2 linked regions of the Styela clava genome follow. The protein of the gene in region 1 interacts with the protein of each later gene in a biochemical or structural test. Links are inferred from orthologs where the notes say so. Each region holds a gene or a part of one and is shown on either strand. Other genes may lie near its edges. The genes, in order: polycomb protein eed-like and nuclear inhibitor of protein phosphatase 1-like.

Region 1 (9,194 bases):
TCAGGTGGATGGGCGCGTATTCATGTACTTTTTTAACCTTATTTTAGGCTATGCTCAACCTCCTTGTTTTTTCTGCACCTTGTTGCCCTGTCTGAATTTTCTATGTTTTTTCATGTTTTAATCAGAGGAGAAAAAATAAATGATTGATTGATTATCTTAGCCAGAGTCTGACAACGCGCAATAGTTATCAATTGCATGCTGACTTTTTCCGTCGGTTCTTGTTTTGCGGTAAATATCTCGCGGTTTGCGGAATATTAAACGGTAAATATATTGTTCATCCAATAACGAGGATAAGGAAAGCGGTATATCAGTTTATTGTCGCGCATGCGTGGAGGCAGAGACTCCGTCCAGAGACTTTCCCGTACATAATAAAATTGAAAAGCAGCTAATTCTATTGAAAATAATTTGTAAACCTTGTTTCATTAGGCTCTTCTATTCAAATCGTCTTTTCCTGTAGTTTGTTTCGTTTTCTACTGTGATCTGTTTAAATGGCATATCTAAAGAGGGTCAAACTCTCAAATATTTTTTGTTTAACATCTCGCTTATGTTCCTTGCTTCGAGTTTCTATTTTGTTTTGTTTCTCCCACGTAAACAGTGGTTAGCGCAGTGGCGGCGCGGGATTGAACTTACGGGGCAAGCTACTGCGGGACCAAGTCACCCCCATCTACGGGGACAGGATGAGCGCTGTAAGTTCTCCAATCATCATTTTATGAGTATAAAACCCATTCCATCGGTAACAACCAATCGGCAAAAGCGACAATTTTTAACGATAAGAAAGTGTCTTTAAAACCAGTCCAAGTCAAGGGATTAATAAATATAGACATAGTTTATTTTGAAACTTCTTTCAAAAGGAAAGGCAATATTTACCCAGATAAATACAATGACATATTAACAGAAACTTCGGGAAAGCAGACAAAACCTAAAATAAGGTTTAAAACGTTACTATGAAGAAAGGAAAGATAATGCAAAGATAAGGACATGCGTCGCTCACTCACAGATATATATGCTGCTAGACTTCTACTGCTTGAACATATATGCAACACGCTGCGGTTTCTTGGAAGCAAAATGCTCAATAACGCGCTGATTAAAGTCATGCATCCCAGAAATAACGTCTCTGTGAATGGATAAAACAGCCAAGGAATTTAATCTATCTTGCTTCATTGTGTTTCTGAGATACGGTTAATACGCTTCAGCGTGCTGAATGTTCGCTCTGCGTCGGCGGAAGAAATAGGCGTCGTCAAAATGATGTCCAGAAATTTTGCAGACGCCGCAAAGGTAGTTACTAGAGTGTTATCTATGAGGAACCCATAGAGCGCGCAAGTTGATGTGATGTTCAAAAAAGTTTGATTGGTGTATATACATCGCAATTCATTTTCCAATTTACCCACGTTTATCATGGGGTAAAATTTGGAGACAGTAGCCAACAAATGGATGGGAAATTGACGTGCAAATTTTGAAAAATTTTTGGGGTTCATCAAAGAGAACGCGGCAAGGTGTTCAGTGCGCAGACGATCGCCTATTTGATTCACCAGAATGTCACAGCATTCCTTTGCAGACAAAATCAAACGCTGCGTTGTTTGCCCGCGGCGTAAAGAAGCACTCCATGTGTCGTCGTTTTATTGTTTCCCGGATACGAGATCCAGCATCGCAGAAGTCTGAAATACACGACTGCACAGACGCTCCATCCATTAGCCTTGACTGCAATGCGCCGTATAATACATCCACGTGATAGAATATTGTGGAGAAAAAAGCGAGAAAAAATGAAAACTCACCATCTTCTAGCAGACGCTTTAGACCTGCCGCCTACCTCACAGAGCGTTCGTCCCAAACCGGAGAGCTCTGAATGCCATTGAAACACTCAATGAGCTCAGACCTAATTTCGGACACGCCCTGCACCACGCGTGATTGGAAGTTCCAACGTGTTGGTGCACAAGCTGGGAGACGGCGGCTACATATCTGGCGAAGGAGGTCAGAGCGCTTCGGCGAAACGGAAAAAAATCCCGAAACATTTGCAAAAAATATACGGACGAGAGGGGTATCAAGACACATATTTTCAGTAACAAGGTTTAATTGGTGTGCATAACAATGTAAAAAATGCGCATGAGGAAAATCTATTTTTATATAAACTTGAACACCATGTTTCGACCCACTCATGACTGCCGCGCCGTCATAAGTTTGAGCTATCAATTTTGACTTCGCGTTGTAAGGCTGTAACACTTCTTTCAGTACAGCCGATATCCCGCAAGCCGTGCGATCAACGATTGGTACAAAGCTGTGAAATCTCTCGGTAGGTTTACCATCTTTCACAAACCGAAAAATCACAGCCAGTTGGGAAACGCACGTGATGTCAGTTGTCTCGTCAGACTGAATCGAAAGGAACTGGCAATTCTCAATTTCCAGAGCCAAATGTTGTAAATAAACTTTATACATTGAGTCGAGCAAATCATTTTGGATATCCTTAGATGTCCCTTTCGAAACAGTTGCGGCATCAAGATGATCTCTCAATACTGTATCTAGGGATGCGGTGTATTCCACCATATCCAAAAATACCCCTCTATTAGAAGAGCCAGCCCGTTCATCGTGCCCACGGAGGGACAGCTCGTGACAACCAATGAACTTCAAAACATCTATCAATCGACCGAGAACATGGCGGTTTTTCTCGACGTTTTGGTTGTGCCGACGAATAGAAACCGCGCGTCCTTCATCCAACTGTGCTGCAATATTAACATTTCCGAATGTTCAGTATTTTACTGCATTGTTCAGATGCTCCATAGAAGATTGATGATCCCTGGCACGCTCGGAAAGATGTTTAAGATCTCTAAAACCAAATTTACACCAACGTGAGTCACGGGCGGTAGCAAAAAGTAGGCAATAAAAACAAAAAAGTGCATTTTTGTCCTCGCTGTAACACAACCATTCGTGTTTTTTATACCAAGTTTCTGCGCAGAATGTACGCCGACGCTTTCCTCCGTCATGGGATTGTTCCAGTGAACAATTTTTTGGTTGATAAGGCCCAGAACGTTGAACCTCTAGTTTTTGTTCCAGCGGCAGCTGCGAAAACGGAGTGCGAAGTAGTGCATCAACCTTATTCATTATGAGGTCTAAGGCTAAGAAATGCGAAGCCGGAAAGAAGTGAGGAGCTCAAAAGGAATGTGGAAAATCGAAAGCAAATGGACTAAAGGTCTCTAACTGATTCAAATAGCGAAACAAGCGACAAAAACGAAGACGAGGAAACTATCAACTCTTCAAGCAACCAACGAACGAGAAGGAATGCGTGAATATGTCAACACGTTGTTGTAAGAAACGTCGGCATTGTGTCGTCATAATTTCGGGGCTAGCCCCGATCGGCCCCGATGATTTAGTAAAAGAAACAGAAAACAAACGAGACAAACGCGGCGAGTGGAAGATAAAAGAGAGAATACGATATACAATGAGCAACCGGGGCAAAATCGGCGTCGCCCCGTCGACGTTCGGCGAAGGCTTTGCGAGCGAAAAATGAACCATGTCGGGAGAATATGGCTAGTGTAGACAGTCTGTGCAACCGATATTGAGGTATTTTTCGAATATTTTTTATCATACCGAAAAAACAACCGGGGCATTGCCCCGATTGGCCCTATTGACGCGCCGCCACTGGGTTAGCGCTTAGTGTTTTTCACTAACCGGCCAACTCTATGATAATGAAGATTCAAACATCTAATCGCAAGTCAAGATTCTTTTTAACTTGCAAGAGTGGCCGTGATGGGTAGGGTCAAATAAACAACCAAGGTGACTAGAAAAATCTCAGGAAATCGTTTTGGCAGGGGAAAAATTGCACAACACGCAAATACATTTGACGGAAATATTAGGAGGCATATGCCACAGACCGAACCAAACTTGCCACTTTTGGAATTGAACCTGTTGGGAATATAGCACATTGACATTCATTGCCATCTGTGCTCTTTGCTTGATATTCATGTTATGATTGAAGGAAAAATCTCAAAAATAAGGACGTATGCAAACCTTGACTATATTTATACTTTTGTAGCGTACCGGCAGTCTATGTAATAATTATCCAAGTTCAGAATATCTTCCATTATGATCTGACGTCAAGTTTCCTCTCAATATTCACTTCAATTTATACTATTTTGTTCTATTTAATAATTATCAACCTCAATACAACCAAATACTCCAACAAAACGGAAAGCATACAATAAAAACAACAAACACCAGGCAGCACAATGCAAGAAAAACCATATACACAATAAAAACACTAAAGGACCCTAAAATTGAAGACAACTTCCAATAGAAGCAAATTGACCCCTAGAATCCGGTACACTAAACTAGCTACTACAATTTGCAAAACATGCTGAAAATAAATTATGACAGGTATTTTGAAAGACCTTAAACAATTCTATATGTGCACAACATTTAAACAGTACTGATTGTTAATAATGTCTTGGTTATATGTTAAGTTCTACACCCAAGCTATTATAGAATAAGGGTTCAACTGAATACGCTTACACTTCTTTATTACACCAGCATAACACACAACATAAGATGCTTACAGCAACAGAACATACTAGCGAGTGGCGCAACTGCGACACGTTAGCACTATACAGATAGCATATTCAATTATTAGGGACGTTACTCGACAAGGCATTATTAGCCATCATCAACACTGATGATAGCTAATTTCATGGCACCTGAAAATTACAACATTAAAATTACAACAATTTATTTAATTACAACAATTAAATAAAAGGTATTAATTAACAGTAGGCTACATAATGATATTAATATTCAGCTGATGCGACTAATTTTTTCGAAACACCAGATGGCAAAAGATAATGGTAATTTTTTTACCTAAATCACTACATACACAGATACAGGAAGGGACCAAATTATATAGATAAGTTACTACTCTAAAAATACATTCTTGGGTAATCACTGTTTTTTTTGCCATATATAATAAAAATGCGCATTGTATAAACAGAATGAAGCCAAGTACTGCACTGTAACTGGTACCGTAAAAAATGAAATATGAAATTTTTTGTATGTAATCTATATTTGTGTGTCCCTGAATTTGATATAGAAAAAAATACTAATTTTTAGATGAAACATTCGAAATCATTCCTGAAATTTAAAATTTATCACATGGAATATAACCAGATTAGACTCTTGCGATACACTACTACTGGCAGTGCACGGATTCTTTCTGCGCAAAGCCGGTTCGCGCGTTTTATAAAACGTTAACTTGGCAGAGCGTTTGTGTGCTCGTAATGTTACGGTACTGCTGACTGAAACACCGATGAAAATCAAAATGGAAAAAGTTAAAAGGAAGAGCGAAATGGAAGTAGATGATGATAACACAGAAGACGCATCAGTTGCAAGTAACGACATGGACAATAACTCTGATGATAATGATTCCGAATTAAGTTCCGGCGTTAGTCACGGAAGCGGTGCCGGTACCACAAAAAGAAGATTCAAAGGCCGAGGGAAATTTCATAAAAAGCAAATTCTAAAATCTCTTTTCAAGTGTGTCAATTCGTTGAAGGTCGGTATTTTGTTAAGTCAATAACATCACCATTACAGCTTTCCTCTCCCCCGGGATCAATATGTAAATCCTATCCTATCCTATCCATTCCCAATTACTGAATTAGGGTGCAGTGTCTGAATGTGTGCCTCTCTAATACAGCAATAAAAAAAATACAAAGTGAGCTAATTGAAAAAATTCGATAACTGAAATTTGTATTTCTATAACCGTACCTGGCCATAATGGGGTCTCATGTAGTTTCGTACCTAACATAGTCTACTTCTAGCAGTCTAGTGCTGTAGTGGGCATAGCATAACAATTTTTTCATGTGTCAATCCTAACCCTCACCTGACTACACCATCCAAAAATTAAGTCACTATGGCGTCACAGTGACGTAATAGAGCCCTTCAAACTATACGAACTGTCATCCAAGGTGCGCATACGAGCACCCGAAATCGAGCAAGCTATCTCTCTCGTTTTCTCGTCGCAACGATCCCAATATGAGAGGCGCCGGCGCCGATGCCATTTCGGGCGATCTCACGTATGTTTCAGTATTTGGCAAGCTCTATGACGTGATTGTTATGTCGTAGTGACATAATTTTTGGATGGCATAGGCTAGTCAGATGGGGGTTAGGATTGACATATCAAAAAATTGTTATGCTACGCCCTCTAGAAGCCAGACTGGATTCCATGGCAGATGCACGCCCGAGGGCGCTAGCGCTCCACAAAAATGCACGCGAGCGAATTCAATTTTGCACGCCGAAAATTTGCAATTGCTCACCAATGTAAATCGGTTTAAATAGTTTTTAAATCACTAATCTAGTAATATAAAGATGCCAAAAAATTATAACTTTACAATTGTCGACTAATACTTGCTTGCAAGATTTGGCCTGATCGAAAAATGCGAAGCAAAAATCACCATATCGTGTTGAATGATAGGAATCCCGAAATGATGTTTTGGGGGTCAAAGGTCAAACGTCCATTTTTGCTATGATCCAACTTATTTTTACGCGGATGTATTGAGAGGTATCTTAGGTCGAAATCAGTTTAGCGGGCGCAGTTGTTTTGCACGCCGTGAGCTATAATTGCACGCCAGAAATTCTTATTTGCACGCGGGAATTTCTGATTGCACGCCCGATTTCTCGTTCGAAAAGGCCATGAAATCCAGACTGGTCTAGAAGTACGTTAGGTACTAAACTATACGAGATCCCATAATGTCCCTAGGTGCTGAGTACAGGAGTATGATTGGTAGGACTGCAGTTCATATGATACAGTATTACTGTCTGACTGTTGCACTGTTTATATATCTGTATATATTAATATTTGTCGCAATTTTTCGAATTAAACCATGATGGTGCATCGTGCTAAATGTTGAGAATACAATCGCCATCGCACCTCTGATTATTCTGCGTGGGTTTGCAGGTTCAAATCTTATGGGGAATAAGTATGTGCGAGAGGATTGCTGGACTCCTCACTGCCGTATAGTCGTTCACTAAACTGCTGGCTGATCGGTTACGGCTTCCTCCACCATCAAGTCCATGCATCTGAAATAAATAAACTGGCTAATCCCAATCGACTTACTTCTCCCCTGGGATAAATATGTAAATCCCATTCTTTTGTAAGTGTATCAAATAATTATAGTGATTGTATTACACCATTTTTTAAATCAGGAGGACCATGGAAAACCCTTGTTTGGCGTTAGTTTCAATCAATTCATGGGTGAAAATGAACCCCAAATGTTTGCTACTGTTGGAAGCAATCGTGCAACTATTTACGAATGTTGCGAAAACGGATACATAAAACTCCTACAAGCCTATGAAGATCCCGACCATGATGAAACATTTTATACCTGTGCTTGGAGTCTTGATACAACAACTGGTCACCCCATTCTTTCATTTGCTGGGTCAAGAGGAGTGATAAGAGTATTCAACATTATCACAAAGCAGTGTGCGAAGCATTACCATGGTCACGGTAATGCAGTGAATGAATTGAAATTTCATCCAACAAAGCTAAATTTGCTGTTGAGTGCTTCAAAAGACCATTCTTTGCGTATGTGGAATATAAAAACTGACACGTTGGTTTGCGTTTTTGGAGGGGTGGAAGGTCACAGAGATGAGGTTTTGAGTTGCGATTTTGATATCACTGGAACTAAAATTGTGTCATGTGGGATGGATCATTCATTGAAAATTTGGCGATTAGATCAATCAATCATAGAGCTCGCTATGGAAGCTTCGGAAAAATATGATGGCTCAAAATATAACAAACCTTTTCCAACCATTCATATCCATTATCCATATTTCACCACGAGGGACATTCACAGGAATTATGTTGATTGTGTTAAATGGTATGGTGACTTTTTACTTTCAAAATCATGTGAAAATCATCTTGTATGCTGGAAACCAGGGTTTGTCGAGTCTGATATAGACACCTTAAAGTTAATGGAAAAGACTAATGTTACTATTCTAAGTCGACTTCAATATCAACATTGCGAAATATGGTATATGCGATTTGCAATGGATATGCGACAGCGATTTCTTGCTCTTGGAAATCAATATGGGAAAACCTTTGTTTGGGATCTTGAGAAAATGGATACTTCTAAACCAAAGTGCTTGCCTCTGGTCAACGTTAGATGCACAAATTCAATTCGTCAAACTGCTTTCTCAAAAGAAGGAAACATTCTTATCTGTGTATGTGATGATGCTACAATTTGGAGATGGGATTTGCAGGGAAAATGAGCTATCAGCCACTGTATTTTGTTGTGCAGTTAAAGTTGCACTGGGTTGGTTATAGCCAGTCAAAAATGAAAAGTTGAATGCTTCAGTAAAATATTGCTTTATATTCTCTAAATTTGAATGTGTCTAAATTTGCACTATTGTTTCTCCACCAATCATCATGGACCATGTTTCGCTACCTGATATTGCTTGGTATAACCCAAAATATGCTGCTCAGCGAAGGGGTTGACTACCGGCATGCCTTACTCAATCATGAATACAAACCATCTACCAATTGTTTTGCATGTAACCTTTGCAGTATGTAAATTCATTGACAAAGCATTGGAAAAGTCACAGCTTTTTGATGTTTTAAAGTATCTTATTCCAGTGGGCAGAGGTATCTGACAAGTAAACTGCTGCAATTTGTTCCAGAGGTAAATCCACTCATTTTTTAAAGTATGTTAAAAGTTACATAACAAGGTTTCTTGCATACCTATATCCGTATATGTATAGTTCCGACATCACTGATATGCTGTTAATCATATCGAAACTTTTGCTATTCTGTGTAGGCCATATCTTCATTCTTGAATCAATGTTTGTTTTGCATTATCAACCAACCTCGTCACATTTTATATCGAAAAGCTGTGGGCTTATCTTTGCTTACATGACAAGCTGCAGAACTGATATAAAATGGCTCCATTTTGTAGGCAATGAATAGACTGTCTTCTACCTACATATTGAGCGATATGTTACTTGTATTTCCAATTTGGTATGGGCTATTTGATACACTGAATCAGAATACACATTTTCACTTTTTTTCCAACCTAAAATACCGTTTCTACATTAAATTAGATGAACACTAAAACATGGTAATGACTTGGTTTATACCAGGAGTGGGCAAAACTCAATAATTTTACCAAATTGATATATCGGTATGCTTTGAAAGAGAGAGCGAGAGAGATTTATTTTTT
Region 2 (8,667 bases), on another chromosome or scaffold:
AGACAATACCCAGGGTATGATGATTCTCTATATTTCTAAATGCTAATAGCACCTTACATTTCAATGGCTGGGTTTACAAGGGATTGTTTAGAACAGTGGTTCCCATACTGTGGGCTGCGGACCAATTACTGCCAGCGTAACAGTACAATATGGCCGGCCAACTTGAATAAAACACTTTAACACTTCGTGTTTTTATCTTTTTGCGTTCCAGATACGGCCAATTGTTACATAATTATCACAGTTTAAGCACGTGTATATTCGTAACAATTCAATTAGACCGGCATCACAATCATACGTATCAGTACCGGTATCTGCCCCTAGTGGGCGCTTCCCCTCTCCAAGCCCACAAATATTTTTCCGCGTCTAATTTCGGCCTCCGATCAATCAACCTTGGGAACCACTGGTTTAGAACGAAAGAAAAAAAATACCTAAAAAAATTCTTCCTATTTTCTATGAACTTACTGCTTCCTAAGTCAATAATGAACATTCTCTTCAGATGTTTGTGATAAACAAGGACAGCATGAACTCTGGAACAGGATGAATGTTCAGTGATGAAATCACATGAGTCAGAGTTTCGCCCGAAAACGTAACATTTTTTCTCGTCAATGATGAGTTTCTGCAAATATAAAAATAAAATTTAAACAACTGTTTCAAATTTTATCAATTGGGCAAGATGAGGAACATTGCACTTTTTACCAAATAGGTCAAAAATTTCGAAATAGGAAATTTGATATAGAAAAGAAGATTAGGGAAAATAGAAATATATATATATAATCATTGAAAAACTGGCTGTTGCAATCTTCCACAAGTTTCATAATTTTGCCGTAACAGTACGGCACACTATACAAATCGGGTGACATTCTCCCGTTTCAGAGAAACCCATTTTACAGATGATCAGACACCCCTCCTTTGGGAGACGTCTGGACATTGTTGTCCCTCAATATCGGTAAGAATACAGTATAATGAAGTTGCGCAAAATACTACAAAAAAACGCAATACAGTAACGTCATCATTGAATTCCTTGGGAAAAACTACTCCGATTTACCAAAGGAAAATTTTTTTACCGTAGCATTCGAGAGTTTTTAGCAAAAAATGGTCATATGATGGCCGCAATTAACTTAGATTATTATTGAGACGAGCATAGTGTGATATGACGCATCTGACATGGTCCCAGACACCCCTCGTTTGTGAGACACATAGAGTGTTCGTTTTATAGAGCAAAATGGAGGGAAATTCTTGGAATTTAAATAGTGTGGTATACTGTATGATAAGTTATTGAATTTTATCTCCATCAGTAAAATACATGAGTCCTGCACAGTGGAGTTCAACACTTCAAATGATGCGCCTCGGCAATAAGTTGTTGAAAATAAAATCTCAGGCAAACACACCTCAACCAACTTCTCTCCTTTCATGACATTCAGATGTGTTCCAGTAGGTGCTTTTCCTGCCCTGAACATAATAACATAGAATAACTATAGCAATCTATAGTTTGATAGTACAGTATACTTCCTACTGCTGTACTGCTAGTTGAAAGCTTATTTTTGTATTTGGCTTGACAGTCAGCGCATTGTGCTAAATATTATTACACGACTGACTGGACTACATAAGTTCGGATTATAACATAATTATGAAAGTTACAATTATAACAGGATTTGATGGACTCTTCGGAGCCGCACATATGTTATGGTACCGGTACTGTACCGCTGGTTGGTTACAGCTTTCTCAACCATATGCCCATCAAGTCCATGCATCTGAAACAAATGTGGGTAACGGGTGAAGGATAGGATAGGATTTACATATTTATCCCGGAGGAGAGGAAAGCCGATAAGACGGCTTATTCATATGGCGAACCACGGCCTCTCGTCCGGTTACCATTCCAAGTCGGGTATGGGATTAGATTTACTGTATTGTTTGTTTTCGGAAGCATGGACTTGGTGGTGGAGGAAGCCGTAACCGACCAGCGGTCCAGTCTGGATTTCATGGCCTTTTTGAACGAGAAATCGGGCGTGCAATCAGAAATTCCCGCGTGCAAATAAGTATTTCTGGCGTGCAATTATAGCTCACGGCGTGCAAAACAACTGCGCCCGCGTGAAACTGACTTCGATCTAGGATACCTCTCAATACATCCGCGTAAAATTACCGGAATAAAAATGGATAAAAAATATGTTGAATCATAGCAAAAATGGACGTTTGACCTTTGACCCCCAAACATTATTTCTACAGTTTGTTGCTAATTTTGAGAGTGGTTGTGCGACTTTGGTTACCGGCCAGACTGGATTCCATGGCAGGTGCACGCCCGAGGGCGCTAGCGCTCCGCAAAAATGCACGCGAGCGAAATCAATTTTGCACGCCGAAAATTTGCAATTGCTCACTAATGTAAATCGGTTTAAATGGTTTTAAAATCAATAATCCAGTAATATAAAGATGCCAAAATATTATAACTCCACAATTGTCGACAAATACCAGCTTGCAAGATTTGGTCTGATCGAAATATTGCGAAGCAAAAAAGACCATGGACCTTTCCCCGACCTTTGACCCGCGAAAAATTCCTCTCGTTGTTACGTCCTTTTTTGCATCTTGCTGATTGGCCAATGTCACGAAGTAAACAAGGAAGTCGATGCTCGGGGGAAAGGTCCATATCGTGTTGAATGATAGGAATCCCGTGAGAATAGATATGGACGAAAAGATCGCCTCCGCACCAATGGCCAAGTACGGCTCTGATTCAGCGTATTTTTCATACAATAATTTTACACGAATGTACTGAACAGTACCGGTATCTAAAGTTGCTCAAACACTCCCAAAATTAGTGACAAAGTATGAAAATAATATTTGGGGTCAAAGGTCAAACGTCCATTTTTTTCTCTGATTCAACGTATTTTTTTCCGATACCGGTAATTTTACGCGGATGTATTGAGAGGTATCTGATGTCAAAGTCAGTTGCACGCGAGCGCAGTTGTTTTGCACGTCCTGAGCTATAATTGCACGCCAGGAATTCTTATTTGCACGCGGGAATTTCTGATTGCACGCCCGATTTCTCGTTCAAAAAGGCCATGAAATCCAGACTGGGTTACCGGTACTGTTCAGTACATCCGTGTAAAATTATTGTTTGAAAAATACGCTGAATCAAAGCCATAACTGGCCAGCGTCGGTGAGGGGGCGATCTTTCTCACTGGATTCCTGTCATTCAACACGATATGGTGTTTTTTGCTTCGCATTTTTCGATCAGGCCAAACTTGCAATCTAGTATTAGTCGACAATTGTGAAGTTATAATTTTTTGGCATCTTTATATTACTAGATAATTGATGTACAAACTATTTAAACCGATTTACATCAATGAGCAATTGCAAATTTTCGGTGAACAAAAATGAATTCGCTCGCGTGCATTTTTGTGGAGCGCTAGCGCCTTCTGGCGTGCATCTGCCATGGAATCCAGTCTGGCCAGCGGTTACGTGAACCACCCAACGACGGCGAGGAGTCCAGCAATCCTCTCGCACATAACCATCCCTGCATGGGATTCGAACCTGCGAACCCACGCAGAGTAGTTAGAGGTGCGGTGGCGAATGTATTCCTAACGCTTAGCCCGTTGAGCCACGCCGCCGCGCCTATACCCATATCTGCATATTGGACATGAACTGATAACTGGACAACAGTTCAAGGTTCGCCATAGCAATAAGCCATTTCCATTCCTCCCCAACCTGCTAACAGGCTGAATATCAAAATCCTATATGAAACATGATATCTTAAGTCATACTGTCAGTAAGTAAAAAACAAGGAAACTCACCAAGAAGGAACTTCAAAATCCACTTTCGCTGGATTAGCAAATTTCCCGGAAGGTTTAATTGCCGTCATTTCAATATCCAAGCCTCAATAACTAAACCACTCTCTCAAACGTGCAACATTTTCCAAGAATCTAATCGAAAGCTATCCAAAATATCTATCAACATGCACACACAACCGAACTTGCAGACAATATAGAGGTGGATGGAGTCAATATATATTGGGAAATGAAAATTCCATTTTGTTTGAGTTTCATAAGATTACTGTTAGGATTAGGAAAATATTTCATGATTATGGTGGAGAAAGAAAGAACTGATAAAATTACGATATTGCCATCGACGGCCTTTTTTGTGGGTTCAAATCCATGTTGCGCATGGTAATATTTACTCGTTCTAGATACATAGACTTGCTGATAAAAAACTGTAACCGAGTACGCTGACCATTTCGATCATACAGTACATATTTATATTTGCGAGATTCGAAGTCAAGCATTAAAAATCAATCGTACACAAATTACGAGCAAATAAATAAGTACACATTTTTAATGGAAAAGGAAATTACGGGGACAACCAAGGTTCAAAAATCGCAGTAATCAATTTCAATGTCGCAACTACTGTATTTGCATCAGGTGCGACAAGGGTTGGGATTTCGGAACAAGTTTTTGAAATCCCGGTATCGATATATCCCGGGATTGAGCCGTATAAAGTAAAGATTGAAACATCTTGCATGACAATAAAATCATGTATTTCTTTCATGTAATATCGACGCAGAAATATTAGGGCATCTAGGGCAGTGGTTCCCAACCATTGTTATATCGTGGCACACTATTTAGCTCTTTAAATATTCGCGGCACACCTATCACAAAACACGAACATTTTCTACCCATAAAGAGTGCAATAGTCGAACGCGAACAAATGGTTAACAGTTACCGATATTAGAACTGTTTTCTTAAACATGAATGAGAGCGTCTTCGGAGCACCTCACATTATTCTAAAAGTAGCGCGGCCTCACGGGTAATACGTGGTCTTCAGACGCACCGCCGATCACGCGCTTCGGTTTTGCTCGCCCTTCCCTGTTCCATGTTACGCCCTTATCATTATCACATGTATTCTCACTTTTTCACAACCTTATTCATTTTTGTTACAATTCAATATTTTTCTCCCATTACCAAAAATCATTCAATAGAGCTATTGTCGGCAGTTGCGAGAGAATTGAAAGTGGCAAACAAACTGTATTTCATTACAACAATTAATTATTATCGCTAAAAACACTAAATAGGTTTAAAGTTGTTATAAACGATTTTTACAGCTGGACATATCTTTTCACGTTTGGAATTTCCGATTTTGGAAAGCCCGAACATAAATTTGATGGCAAAGATCATAGCATTTACTATGTCGAAACGCTTATTCAACTTTTCAGACCGCAGAAACTATCTGAAAAAGATGACCGTTTTTGTGTTCGAGGTATGGAATAATCGTAAATTCCACCACGCTTTTGTGAAGTAGTGCAATTTACTAAATTCATGGAGGATTTATTAAGTTTCATTGCATCAGTGTTTGGACTACCACGCGTTTTAATATTGGTTTTATTACTATTTCTTTTATTATTTACTGGCGTGATTACAGATCGCAAGGGTGGTCAAAATAGTATATTTTCATCTAATAATTTTAACGAATTGTCAAATATCGGGTTGAATTCGAGATTTTATTCCGATTTTCAACTTTTAGGTCGGTTTGGATCTTTCTTGTCACCGTTTGTAAACTAACTGTCCCAATTTTAAGCTAAAAATATTATCATTTCTGACGCCGGAATGCGGATATTTATGAAGACGATAGTTGACCTTCTTGACTTCACTTTTCAACTGTGTGGCTGTTTTATTTTCGTATATAGTGAATTAAAACACTGCGAAGTCATTGTGTGCATCCTGAATGCTATTTTGAGTTCAAATTATAATTAAATAAGTCGGCAATAATGACAATTCTACTAGTCAAATAATAATTCCTTGGCACAATTTGAGGAAAATTTCACACAATAATTCTACTTCCACTCAAACTGTGAGCGTGGATTGTTTTTTTCAAAATAAGTATTATATAAAATAGTATAACCTACCATCTGTGAGAATATCTATAGGTGGATAATAAAGCCTTAATTAAATTCTCGGGATATTTAGGAAATAATTGCGGGATCGGGATTGAAAAAAACAGTCCAAATCCCGGGATTCTTAGGATGTATATATTTTATACCTCATTCATGTTACTTTTTAGGCTAACCTGTAACAGCGCTGTGGGTATCGCTGCTTGAAGACCTCCATACGTCCCTCGCGACTCCGGTCACACAACTAACATAATTAGTACTATTATTTATTTATTCATTGCATCAGTTTTTATTTGAACTTGTTTTTGTAATGACAAATAAACGATTGGCTGATTGATTGATTAAAGTTTAGGAATTTAAGCAGTTAGTACTGTTATTGGACACGAAATGGATTTTTTTTCATGTTGTTGTTGTATAAATTTTGCCCTACGGTTTCACGGCGCGGCGGTGTGGCTCATCGTGCTAAGCGTTAGGAATACGCTTGCCACCGAACCTCTGATTACTCTGCGTGGGTTAGCAAGTTCGAATCTCAAGCAGAGATGGTTACGTGCGAGAGGATCGCTGGACTCTTCGCCGCCGTGGGGTGGTTTCCGTAACTGCTGGTCGGTTATGGCTTCCTCCACCATCAAGTCCATGCTACCGAAAACAAATGACTAAGTTAACTAATCCCATACCCGAGGCCGTGGTTCGTCATTTTGGTAAACCGTCCTATCGGTTCCCCCCCCCCCCCCTCGGGATAAATATATAAATCCTATCCTACCCTATTAGTGGGCCAATCGCTTAGAATCAATTAGGCAATTGAAAGTGGTTAAAGATTGTTGTTGTGCATGAAGCTTATTACTTTCGTTTTATTTTAAAATTTCCATGGGTTTTATGGGATTCGTTTTACCACCCTGAAGTTTTGTGTGACGATGTCACCAGGATTAAAAAAATTGCGCACCGTGTGGCGGTTGCTCTCACCATCGCATTTCAATGATATGATACCATTGAACTGAAAAAACATGGAACGATCTTCTCTCTCGTTTTGCGTTGTCTCGCCGCGGGATCATTTGATCGCCGCCATCTTGGCATTTATGCTGCCAAAGTTTCTTCGTGTTGCATATGGTTTTGGCCAGTATTTCGTCTATTTTAGTACTCAGTGTCACTTTTGGGACCCGGAAATGATAAGTCGATTTGCCAGACTCGTTTTATTGAGAATATTCAAAACGGTTGACTAAAATATAAATGAAATATTTAGCACCAAATAAGTCGAAGACAAATGATACAGAATATAAAACTGATATCAATTAATCAATCATCATTTTATTCGTCAGCACAAAATAAACGTATCATAAGAAAAAAACATTTCAAATACAATATGAACTTAACTTAAGTTGTGTGACAGGAGTCGCGAGGGACCTCATAAGGTCTTCAGGCAGCGACACCTTAAAAGCTCGCTGATTCAGGTTAGTGAGCACAAAAAGTTAATGAAACACCAAAACACTTCAAAAAATATTATAAGAAAAAAAAAGCAGCATTTTCGGAAAACATAATATTAACAAATATGTTTCATGAATGGTTTGCAAAAGCAAAACATTCCAGTTATGAGCATGTTTCTTAAAATCCACGACCAACGATGCAACTTAATGCACTGTACAAATTCATTAGATATATAGAAAGGAAAATAAATAAAAAATAATATACTGTATTAATTACTCAAGCGGGATCAGCCATTGTCCTGATCACTGGCATGGTGTAAGCAAGCAATTAAAAATTTGATTCTCAGAAAGTCAGACTCCACGCACATCTGATTTTCCCGCAGAACAGAGCGTGGATAGACAGAATCGAATGTTTGGTCAGAAAAATAGGGCTTGGGGGTTTGTTGCAAAGAAAAGCAGTACAGGTACCGGTAGTGGTTAATTATCAATTCAAAGAAAGGTAGTCACTAATGTACTTCATTTTTAGTTCTCTTTTGAAACCATGATAAGAGAGTGATCTTAGGGTACCTGATATATTGTTCCATAACTTCACACCAATGTATTTGATGGATTTCTGCGTTCTACATGTGTGTATCTGGATACATGGAAGGCACCTTGTGATCCGATCTTGTGCAATACGAATGAACGCTAGTTTGCTTGGTGAAATACCCTACAAATGCTCTTGGAGGTTTGTTGTCAAAGTACTGGTTGATAAGTTTCAATACCTCGAATTCATGGACGTGGCAAAGTTTCATTACTTTAAATTTATGGTACAAGTGGTCAAGTCTGGATCGTAAGGGTGCATCACCTATAGCTCTGATCGATTTATTTTGCAACACCTCCAATCTGCGAAGTAAGTTGGAGGATGCGCTTCCCCATGCTACAATACCATACTGAAGATATGACTGAAAGAGCGAAAAATAAACTAATCGCAAAGCCGATGTGGTGAGAAATTTTTCAAGTTTAAATAATATACCTGCTTTTCTACCTAGCTTGCCAGCAATGTAGTTGATGTGTGTTGCCCATTTTAACCGATTACCAATGTGTATGCCCAAGTATTTGTAGGAGTCCACATTATCAAGTAAAATGCCATTAATTAATGGAAATTTGGAACAAGTACCTACTTCTGTCATTTCTATTGGAGTTAATGAAAAGGGATTTGGATTTTGCAATATTTAGTTAGTTTATTGATAGTCATCCAGGTTGCAATATTTTGTATTTCAGAGTTCATGTGCATTTTCAAGTTGTTTGGTGAAACTGAACTACCGAATAATCCGGTATCGTCAGCAAAGAGTTTGACCAATAATTTGGTGGCATGAGGAAGATCGTTGACGAATA

The links.
Region 2: the proteins of polycomb protein eed-like (region 1) and nuclear inhibitor of protein phosphatase 1-like form a complex in vitro, tested with the Homo sapiens proteins (2 studies listed by BioGRID). The link is inferred for Styela clava from reciprocal best matches to the Homo sapiens genes EED and PPP1R8.

The regions. Positions count from the first base shown.
Region 1 is NC_135261.1:18,998,861-19,008,054, reverse strand, and holds the start of polycomb protein eed-like, read left to right. Parts: upstream 1-5,203; 5' UTR 5,204-5,287; coding exon 5,288-5,533; intron 5,534-7,182; coding exon 7,183-8,247; 3' UTR 8,248-9,194. UniProt on the Homo sapiens protein: Polycomb group (PcG) protein. Component of the PRC2/EED-EZH2 complex, which methylates 'Lys-9' and 'Lys-27' of histone H3, leading to transcriptional repression of the affected target gene.
Region 2 is NC_135257.1:22,032,832-22,041,498, forward strand, and holds the start of nuclear inhibitor of protein phosphatase 1-like, read right to left. Parts: upstream 4,014-8,667; 5' UTR 3,851-4,013; coding exon 3,783-3,850; intron 1,450-3,782; coding exon 1,389-1,449; intron 617-1,388; coding exon 463-616; intron 1-462. UniProt on the Homo sapiens protein: Inhibitor subunit of the major nuclear protein phosphatase-1 (PP-1). It has RNA-binding activity but does not cleave RNA and may target PP-1 to RNA-associated substrates. May also be involved in pre-mRNA splicing.